Oryzias latipes: one gene and its partner. The protein of the gene in region 2 interacts with the protein of the main gene of each other region in a pairwise test. Links are inferred from orthologs where the notes say so. Each region holds a gene or a part of one and is shown on either strand. Other genes may lie near its edges.

The links. The genes of interacting proteins can lie anywhere in the genome.
Region 1: the proteins of dusp12 (region 2) and eif5 interact in binary tests that used the Homo sapiens proteins (3 or more experiments, as listed by UniProt). The two-hybrid records come from large-scale screens. The link is inferred for Oryzias latipes from reciprocal best matches to the Homo sapiens genes DUSP12 and EIF5.

The regions. Positions count from the first base shown.
Region 1 is NC_019880.2:21,352,133-21,357,454, reverse strand, and holds the end of eif5 (eukaryotic translation initiation factor 5), read left to right. Parts: intron 1-259; coding exon 260-371; intron 372-486; coding exon 487-617; intron 618-1,727; coding exon 1,728-1,889; intron 1,890-2,119; coding exon 2,120-2,281; intron 2,282-2,423; coding exon 2,424-2,588; intron 2,589-2,834; coding exon 2,835-2,975; intron 2,976-3,915; coding exon 3,916-4,014; 3' UTR 4,015-4,325; downstream 4,326-5,322.
Region 2 is NC_019875.2:21,142,932-21,148,322, reverse strand, and holds the start of dusp12 (dual specificity protein phosphatase 12), read right to left. Parts: upstream 3,632-5,391; 5' UTR 3,472-3,631; intron 3,412-3,471; exon of another isoform or gene 3,354-3,411; intron 2,527-3,353; 5' UTR 2,525-2,526; coding exon 2,262-2,524; intron 2,087-2,261; coding exon 1,973-2,086; intron 1,199-1,972; coding exon 1,080-1,198; intron 993-1,079; coding exon 905-992; intron 617-904; coding exon 525-616; intron 81-524; coding exon 1-80. UniProt on the Homo sapiens protein: Dual specificity phosphatase; can dephosphorylate both phosphotyrosine and phosphoserine or phosphothreonine residues. Can dephosphorylate glucokinase (in vitro).

The DNA of each region.
Region 1 (5,322 bases), on a different chromosome or scaffold from region 2:
AAGGCTTTACTGCTTCTGCAAGTTTCAGAAGAACTGAGGCGAAAAGGAGTTCAGTTGATGCACTGTTCACCAGAAAATATGTCTGATGGTTCTTTTTTAACCTTCTATAGCAAAGTATCCATTAGTTTTTCAGAAATCAAACTAACAGCTTAGTGTGAAACTCTCAGAAAATAGTCCTGAAATATTTAGTTAACTAGTATCAGCTGTGAAGGTTCGTCTTTTCAGGATTAATTTTGAGTTTGTCTTTTTATTTTAACAGCATGTCAATCCCAAGAAGCAAACCATCGGCACTTCCTGTAAGGCCTGTGGGTACCGCGGCATGCTAGACACTCGACACAAACTCTGCACCTTCATCCTCAAAAATCCACCAGGTGAGACTTTTCCCCAAAGGGGAAGTCCGTGACTGACTAAAGCATTCAGAGGAAATGTCCTTAACACAAAAACAAAAATCCAGATTGTCTGTAATGACTCTTTTTCAAATGACAGAGAGCACCGACAGTGGATCTGCATCTGCTAAGAAAGAGAAGGAGAAGAAGAACCGCAAAAAGGACAAGGAGAACGGCTCCGGCAGTGGCGAGGCGGGAACCCAGGACAGCTTTAATGCTCCTGAAGCTGTGGTGTGTATGCTGCTTCAGACTGAAGCTGGGATATTTTACATGAAGCCAGCAGGGAAACGCCGCCTTTACTACAGCATCTCAATCCTAAAAGAAAACCATTCCAGATGATGCTGCTAGAAAATGACTGGGTTTCTTGTTGGGAAAGAAGGTTGGATCACTTGACTTCATACGGGCTGTAGATTCAGGCCTGGGATTTTAGACATCGACTCTATTCAGAACCCACTGGGAACAAGTCTGACCTCCTTCCAACCGGGCTGGAACAGTTATGCAAACTCCCAAGAACCCAGAACACCGTGTCACACAGACATTACATACATTTAAAATGTATGTAATGTCTGTGTTTCACGATACATGTGCGATGTACGTTATTCATAAGAGTTTCTTGCGTTTGTCGGTGTGCACAGATGTCCGTCGAGGGTTTGGGTCGACGGTTCTTCACATGAATTTGGTTTTGAGTTTTTTTTAAACCTTTGATCGGTTGAGAATTACAGTTTCCGCATATTTAACATAGTTTATACACAATTATGACACACATTTTAAACAATTGTGTGTGTGATTGAGTGTCTTTCCACGACCATTCCACATATGTCTAACAGACTTTTCATGGTCCGACATATAAGTTTTATATCACGGATATGGTGCACGTATAACGTTCTAGTTATGTAATTGACGCACAAATCCCTATTGAATTGCAGATAAACAGCACAGTAATCACACGGTTCGTGTTCTGTATCATTTCTGTGTTCTTTGCATGGTTTATTCCTACTTCTGTGGTTTTGAGGTGATTCCTGATCCATCTGTGAACATTTCTCGTAAAGTGAGGAGTGTTCCTCAGCGTTTCACACGTTCTTTGTCTCTGTGGAGCGAACGTCCTTCAGTCCAGCTAGAACCTCATTAAGGAGTCAGGAAGGTTTTCTCCTCCCTGACCCTCCGGTTGTTTAACGGTTGTCAACCTCCCCGTCTCATGCATCCTTCGTGATGCTCGCAGTCACTGCTTGTCATGTTGCGTCGGACTCTTGGTTTTGAAATGTAAAGGTTACAGTTTTCCTGAGAGCTTTTTCCGCCCCTCAAATCCCATTTCCTGTTCTGATTTGTCCTTCGGTCGTTGAGGATCGGGATGACGACGACGAAGACTGGGCAGAGGAGACTACAGAGGAGGCACAGAGGCGTCGTATGGAGGAGATCAGCGACCACGCCAAGAACCTGACACTGAGCGACGACCTGGAGAAACCCTTGGAGGAGAGGGTCAACCTGTTCTACAGCTTTGTGAAAGTGAGTCTGTTCGGACTGTTAGTTGGAGTAAAATCCTATTTTAAATCAATAGGATCTAAATCCTCCTTCACATGTGTAATCGTGATAACCCGGTACTGGAGGGGAGGGTATCTCAGTGCAGACATTCCAGTCTGATCTGCAGCTCTCTGACAGGTTGAAGGAGCTGAAAATGTTTGATAGAAAACTTCAAATAGAGCAGTAATGTAGAAAACTGTGATATCTTCCTTTAGCAAAAGAAGGAGAGTGGAACCATCGACGCGGCCGACAAGGAGATCTTGGCTGAAGCGGAGCGTCTGGATGTGAAGGCCATGGGCCCCCTCATCCTCAGTGAGCTGTTGTTTGACGAAAACATCCGCGACCAGATCAAGAAGTACAAACGCCACTTCCTAAGAGTGAGTCTCTGAGCAGCCCTCTACAGACGTCCAGTACGGATGGTGGAATCTGACTACTTCAGGCTGATCATGCTAGCTTTAAGATGTTGGTACAGACTCTTTGCCCCTCTCCTCTCTCACGGTTTGATCAATCTTTCCCCAGTTCTGCCATAACAACAAAAAAGCCCAGAAGTACCTGATGGGGGGCTTTGAGTGTGTGGTGAAGCTGCATCAGGTCCAGCTGCTCCCACGTGTTGCCGTCATCCTGAAAGACCTGTACGACGCTGACCTGCTGGAAGAGGACGTCATCCTGTCCTGGGCAGAGAAGGTCGGAGCTCTTCATCCACAGAATGAATGAATGAATGCTTTTATTATTGTAAATAAAACTGTAAATAATTAACTATGATAGTCTTTTACCCAAACCAAAAATTTTTCTAGATTAAATTGGCTTTTTCTTTCATTTCTTCCCATCTTGGGTGGGTGTCTTACTATAACTTCATGTTTGGTTCAAAGACTTTAATGAAGGGAACAATGTTTGCAGATTTTAGTTAATTTTACTAATCTCTTGCACCAGGTTTCCAAGAAATATGTCTCCAAGGAACTTGCCAAAGAAATTCACGCCAAGGCCGCTCCTTTTGTGAAATGGTTGAAGGAGGCAGAAGAGGAGAGCGAGGGGAGCGAAGAAGAGGAGGAGGAAGATGACGAAAATGTGGAGGTACAGTTTAAAAGCAGACGATGCCAATGGGTGGAGTTGAAAACGTGCATGAAATGAATGCAGTTTTAAGAAAGCTGAGTTTTAGCTCAGGAGTCGGTCGTTTCAATATCAAAGAGTTGAGCATTAACATCAGATGTATCCAGCCGTCCAGTTCTGATCCAGATTCCAGCTCAGACCAGGAAAACAAAGACAGGATCACTGTCCTTTTTCCTCGCTGTCACTATCAGCCTTCAGGCTTCTCCTGAAATCCTTTATTTAAACCAAACTCTACAAGAATAATAAATTACATGGAAAGTAGCTGTTTAAAGACCCACTCACATCTATTGGGTGCTGCACACGGACCCAAACTGACCGACTCGGATGTACTCGAATGTTCCCATAAACAAAAACAGTCATATTTGAGGTGGGTTACTGCTGCACACAAACAGGAATAAGACTGTCAGAGTTGCAGAGATTATTATTTATTTATTTTTATTTTTTTTTGGGCGCACCGGTACGACCATGGATTTTTAAGACGGACCATTGAAAAATCCAGTTGCACTTTAGAGCGCTGGCTCCATATTCACATCTATTTGGATCATGAAATACTCAGAAATGCAGTTAGTAGAATGTTCTTTTTCTTTATTATGTCCTCTATCGTGAGAAAAAGACTGCATTAAAAACACCCAAATCACTATTTTCATCAGAGAGGGTCTTCAAGATCGGAAATGCAACATCTCTTTAGAGCTCAAGGCTGAACTTAGTGTGATGGCAGTCTGGGGTCTGGGGTCCAGACCGGGGTAACTTCTTGCGATTTAGTTCAGCATTTCGGTCTTGTGAACCTAAAGGTACTTGTTTACCTGTTGGAGGGTTAACACTTGGTCTCCTCAGGTGGAGACGTCGGTGGGCGTCCATCGTAGTAAAGGTGACGTTCCTTAAATCTGCTGTTTTGCGTCTTCAGGTGGTGTATTCGTCCTCCGCTCGTGAGCTGAAGGTGGAGACGGTCAAACCAGAAACACCCGAGAAGGAGGAGGATGACATTGACATCGATGCAATCTAAGACGGATGTGTATGCTGATGCTGTGACTCATAACGCTCTGTATGACGTATGGAATAGTTTGCCTTTTGCTCCTTTACTACATTTCCCAGACTCCCTTCTGCTTTGTGGCATGATTTCTGTAGCGCTTTTCCTGCTGCACAGTAACTGTAATCCTGACATGTACTCAGTTGACTAAATGAAATTGCTCGGGGGTTAATCACAAGTGTTATGGGGATCATTTTGATTTGCATCTTTGTTTTCTCCTTTGTTTTGGGGAAAGGGAGGTGCTTGTTGTATTTTTCCAGTCAATAAAAATGTTTTGCTATCCACCACACTGTTGTCTTTTCTAAAGGATGACTTGATGTAAACGGTGCTGTATGTATTAGTTAATGCAGGGAAAACAGAACATCGGTTCTGAAACGCTCAGTTTTGGATCAACCTAGACTCTGGGTTCGCATAGAGAAACGCCTTGGGATTGTCAGATGCTAGGGACAGGAAGCTGGTGTTTTCACGCGGGCTTTACCTTCGTGTGCGTCATCCACACCCCTTTTGAAGTGAGTCACGAGGCAGTTTCCTCTCGGCCCGCCGAGGTTCTGGTCGGGCTCACCGGTCCAGTGGGACCGAGGTCAGTAAGTTTTCTCTGCCCGCTCAGTAAAACATGGACGTGGTGCCTTCAAGTACCGTCAGGAGCGCAGAGATTGCATTCAAGTTAAAAAACGTTTTCACATTTTTGTAAACCATTTTTCTCATCAAATTAGTTCAACTGCAACGTTTTTCTAATTAAATTAATGATTATTTTGAAGGGCGAAAAAACAAATACACCACTGACAACAGTTAAAATGCATATATTTTACTTTGTGTGCTGATTATATGTATTCCGTATTTTCACAGAAAAATGCCACTTGTAGTGGGAAATCGTGCTGAATTGGTGTTTTTTAACCCTTCGGAGATTCACGGTTTAGTTATGTCTGACGGTGCAATGGGTCCGTGAACGCATCCTAATCCAGCCCAGCCGCTCAGTAGCCATTTTGGTCCCACCTAAAACAGTCCGAACTGCTTCACTTTAGTCCGCAGGAGATGGGAGAAACAGAACAGACTGCGGGTGTTTCAGCCTTCCGGGGATTTACCTTCTCTCTGCCAAACTCCTACCAGTGACCCTATATCGGTTCTGTTTAATCCGAACTCGGTTTGCGGGAAAAGGGAAGGTTCGGCTATTTTTGTACCGACCGACACAGTCACACAGCGCCTTCGCGTTAGTTTAGTTAGCCTCACTGACTCTCATGGACACCGCTTTTCCTGTCGGGATGTGTGGATCGGACCTCACCGGCC
Region 2 (5,391 bases):
CTGTCCGTTCATCACTCCAAGTAAGGCTTGTTCCATCCACTGTACCGGCTCGATGAAGTAGGACGTACACTGAACTTCTCCTGAACAACAACCACAAGGCCTCATGGTCAATCACTGAGATTCACTGATTATTTTGGAAAACAAATTATTTTAATGGTTAGAAAAGAGACTGCTCAATAATTATAGATATATTTTATCACCCACTAACAAAGAAACAGAAAATACCATGAATAATATATTAGGCGTTAAGCTACGTTTACACCGCCTTCGGCAACTCAGCTCCACTTTTAATGAAAAGTCTATGTAAGCACGTGTACATTCGGGTTTCTGCGTTTAATACTCCTGTGTTTATGTGTCGCCGCACGAGCATTCACAACCATTTTTATGCAAACATGCATAAGTAGAAACCAGAAAAATAAACAGAGGAAGAAGCCCCTCCCTGCTTGTTCAGTGTGAACACCATGGGCTAAATTCTCAAATTAGAATGCGTCTTCATCAAATGCCCATTGTGTACGCAGCTTTACCAGAGAGGTTGCTGGTCTTCTTATGACTGAAGGCTGAAGCTCCATCGCCTACGGGATGACTGAGAATGCTGGAGCCACGGAACAGAGTTCGTCTGAGAAAGAAGACCAGGAAGTTAGCCCAGAAGTTCACTGTCGTACCTGCTTTGTTGCTTTTTTTACCTAAAATATTTGGGGTAATTATCGACACATTAGCTTATCGGGATGTCAGAAAACAGAGCAAAAACTTTAAAACAAATTAAAACAGTTTAAAAGGAAAGTCTAGTTGTTGAGCTCCGATAATAAAGAAAGCCTTAAAACTCTTTAGCATAAAAAAATAAGATTTTTATGCTAAAGAAAATTTAGCCACTAATTACCATATCTAATATTTCTAAGCAATTCACCTGCACTTCCGGCATCTGTATGACACCTCGGAGGAGCTGGAGTGGGCGGGGTCATTAGCAAAAATATCTCTTGGGACTTGCTGCAACTCTGCTTATACACAAATAATAAGAAACAAAAGTTGGGAAAGGAATTCCCTCCTGGTGTTCATCCACAGCAGCAAAGCTTTGCTTTCACCTGGATATCTCTCTGCAATCTTGTTCAGCCTGTATTGTTTGTACAAAGCACTAGATGTGTCCACCTGACATAGCATGGACTCATACAGCTGCAGCTGCTCTTCAAAACCCCTGTTGACCCTGAAACACACCCAAAAAAAAAACAAATGTTATCTTTTAAGCTCTTGTTTTAAATACAGTTTTACCTTTTGCTGGTGTATACATGACAATGCACTTATTAAGATTTTTTTAAACTTGTTTTTCTGAAATGATAAAAAAAAATCATGGAAATAGTCCCCATAAAATCTTTTACCCTGCTTTACTTCTATATTCCTTTATCAGGTTTATAACAACTGATTTTTTTCATGTACATTGACTTTCAACGTCTGTTATGTTTCTAAATAAAAGCTTCAGTCTTTTTTCAATGTTCACTTCTGGTGAAAATGCAGTTCAAGTCTTCAGTTTTCTGAAAAGTAGATGTTGGAGGCAAATCAGCCACAAAGGAAAATATGTCATAGCCAATCAAGAGACAGATGGGACAAAGATTTCCTCTCTACATGCTCCTTCTAAAATCTTTTTCTTTTTTTTTGCTGACATTTGTTGTGATAAAGTGACAGAAGATGTATTCAACAGAAGTTAAGCTTTCTTTAATAGCAAAAAAAAAGCTGAGTTTATGAACCCCCACATTTGATATAGGTTTAATTAATATTTTTATTAATGAGCAGCCCACTAGAAGCACTTTTAGAATTTTTTTTAACTGTAATTTCCAAAAATATATTGACAGAAACATGAAAAACTTTTTTTTCACAGCCAATTGCTTACCTACAATGCTGACAAACTGACCTAGCCAATTTTGAAATACCCTTAACACAAACAGAAGACATACTGGGAGAGAAGGGAATGACAAATACTTACTGAACATCTTGTTTGACACTTTTCAGTCTTTGGTAAGCTTCAGGGAAGGCCAGATGGTGTTTCTTCATTAAATATGCAGTCACAATGGTGGCGCTGCGGCTTCGACCTGCATGACTAATGTGCACAAAAAATAGTTTTTAAATAAGCGTTGTCCTTCTGCATTTTGTGCTTTTATATGTCGTGTCATCATGCACCAAAATGGATTCAGATTGCACATGGTTGCATAAATTCAAGGATGGAATGCGTGGAAAACACAGAAAGGAATAATGAAGCCATATTTGACTCTTACCAGTGAACCAGTGTAGCTCCGCCCCCTTTTACAGCCTCATCAATGAATATGTTGCAGGCGTCCAAGTAACTGAGCAGATCAGTCGTCTCTTCATCTAAAGCATTGATCCACTTTCTGATGAAGTTTCCTGTGGCAGGAATCTGTGGACCAGGATCCACAGATTCCACAGACAGGATGTGGGTGACCGAAGCTGCAGCGAGCGCCTGGCAGTCGTTCAGGTCAGCTGCAGTGCCGATGTACACTCCTGGATCTACGAGCAGCATGACTTCAGAAAAACACACAGGGATTAAAGGAAAGTAAAGAGAAAAATGAAGAAAAGTCCTCAATATTACTGAGCACAGGAAGAGTTGTGGAGCAGACCATCTGATCAGTTTGATCTGCGGAATTATTGAGATATTGAAACTGGCCCATTCATTTCCAGGTAGAATCATTTTAGCTACACAGAACTTTCTGGCCTTTCACAAAGCATCTCATTTGTTTAAATGAAAAGCAAAGTGAAAAAACATGATATTTTGTTTTCTTTGCTTACATATAGTAATAAAAGTATTTGTAAAACGTCTCTATGAAACAAAAACATTCCTCACTATAAATAATTAAAAAATCTAAGGATACAGAGTGAGTGAAGAGGATTGAACGTCTTACTACTTACTGCTGTCTGTGAACTGTATTATGGAATTAGTGTGTATGTTAATAAAGTCATAACACATTTTATGGCAAATATGCTTATTCTTCTTCTTTTAATTACTTAAATAAGGGGGTGTGACGTCACTAAAATATGTTTATTTGAAGATTTTTATATGTTCATCCCCCCCTCCCTCCCTCCCTCCTTATGTTCACTATTTCAACTTTTAAAAAAAACGCAGCATCTTCCACGTTAAATGTCTTTCCAATTTTTACTTTTCCTTTAATTTTTACAAGTATCACATTTTGTTGTGATAATTATAAAAACTACAGTGTAACACTCAAATGTGTGACTGGTTCTCTGACCACAGAGCAATACGGATTTAAATGGCATCACCGAGCTTCCATCTTCATCTTTAATTTAGGCTTAATGTAACCCAGCCTTCTCGGGTCACATACCAAGACAATTACCTGATTTCTTACCAAACAGCAACGCCCTGCTGCTAAACACGCGTGCACATAACACCGTGGTGCTGTGACAGCCAGCCTCGCAGTTAACTAACTCCGTTAACTAAACTCGTTAACTAACCTCATTTACTTGAGTATGTCGTTTCTTTCCTTCCTGCAAATTTTGGCTGCTTCAAACCTCAAAGCATCAAACGTGCAAAACACACAAAAACTAACTTTAAGACGGACCCTAAAGGCGTGAGCACCAACGGGACTGGTGTTTTTGTTCGTCTCTTAAAGCTGTAGGGAGGAAACACGACATCATTTTATAGTTCCGCTGATGATGATCGCACCAACACGTGTTTTTTGTGTTCTGCTGGAAGGTTTGATATTTTTACTAAAACAAAAATAATGTCATGACCTACTCCTCTTGCTCTAATTTTTTACAAATTTTTATTTATAATAACCATGTAATTTCCCAAACCCAAAGATTCATATAATGCATGCAGCAACAACTTAATAAGGGGTCATGTCTGAAGCTTTCGTGAGCCCAAAAAAACAGCTCTCTCTGATCAGAAAAGTTTTAAGTGATCAGGGAACTGTTTAATAAAGTTTGCCTAGCATCAATCTGAGTCTTAAAACTTAATTTTGCCTTTTCTATTTCTGTTTTCAACTTTTTTGTAGCAGAATTTTGTCATAAATATGTAACCAACACGAAAAGAGATTCAGAGACAGAGCTTTTCCCATTTAAGGTGTTTTTTTTCAAATAGTTTAACTCATCATTGAAGCAGACTCACACAACTAAACACACACATTTTGCTCATATGGCAAACATAGATTTTCTACTGGGAAGAAATTTTTTGTTCTGTAGTAATGTAAAATCTGAAGAACTCTATAAAATTTGGGCCTATTTTAAGAAATCAATAACATTTTTTACACACACTGATGTCCTGCAGACATTTACATAAAAAAAACAGAGTTTTCCAACCATATTATATTTTGTTAAGCGTGTATTAAAAGCAATAGTTTTTAGGATTCCAATTGACAGCATATACTGAGAATGTAGATTCAATAAAGCCTATTGTTGTATTTGTGTCAGTCAGACTTGACTTGATTACCACAGTGAAATAATGTGTGAAATAATGTGTTGTGATGGGGCTTTTTTTATGAGTGAAAGGTTATCATGTATGGAATGATTTGGGATGGGTCTGAGCAGGTATTAAGGAGAGCAGATTGACCCCTAATGTGCACCTGGATGTTACTGATCCAAAAACATTCAGTCATTGACCAAATGGTTGCTGGTGTTAGTTTTTGTTTTAAATTACAATTTTTATTGCAATTATTAAAATACGATAACAATAAAAGAAGAGAAAATAATATTTCCCAGAGAGAAGGCCCTAGTTTGAATCCTGGCTGGGACCTTTCTTTGTGGAGTTTCCATGTTTTCTTATGGCACTCTGTCTTCTTCCCACAGCCAAAAATCCTGCTTTAAAAGATTATTTGGTGACTCTAAATTTCCCCAAGGTCCCTAGGTTTGCATCTGAGTGTGTGAGTGTGTGGCCCTCCAACAGACTAGCAAGCTGTTCTGGGTGTACACAATAGTTGCTGAGTTGGCAGTAGCAACCCCGTGACCCTGAAGATGGATAGATGGATAAAAGAAGGGAACATTTCTGATGGAGCTGATGGACATTTCACATATCCTATGTGCTGATGGTGCTCCTGTTTGCCGGTTTGTGCCGTCATGATGTAGCTTCATGTTCCAGCTTTGTCAATCTGACTTACTTTATTTCAGTGCAAACATTTCCCATCACCTTCAGGACTAGGGATGTAACGATTAATCAATTAATCGATTAATCAATTTCTGTTCCTAGGATCCAACCAGATTGATCTGTCAGAGGCAAGTTCATTGAATCAAATCAAATTGACCTATACAGTTAAAAATCTTTTTAAAATTACATAAATGAATTCTTGATATTGGAAAATACCATTTGGATTGAGACATGGTAGGTTAATTTTACTATGACGTAAAAACGACCAAGTGCCATCACAGCGGACAAAACGT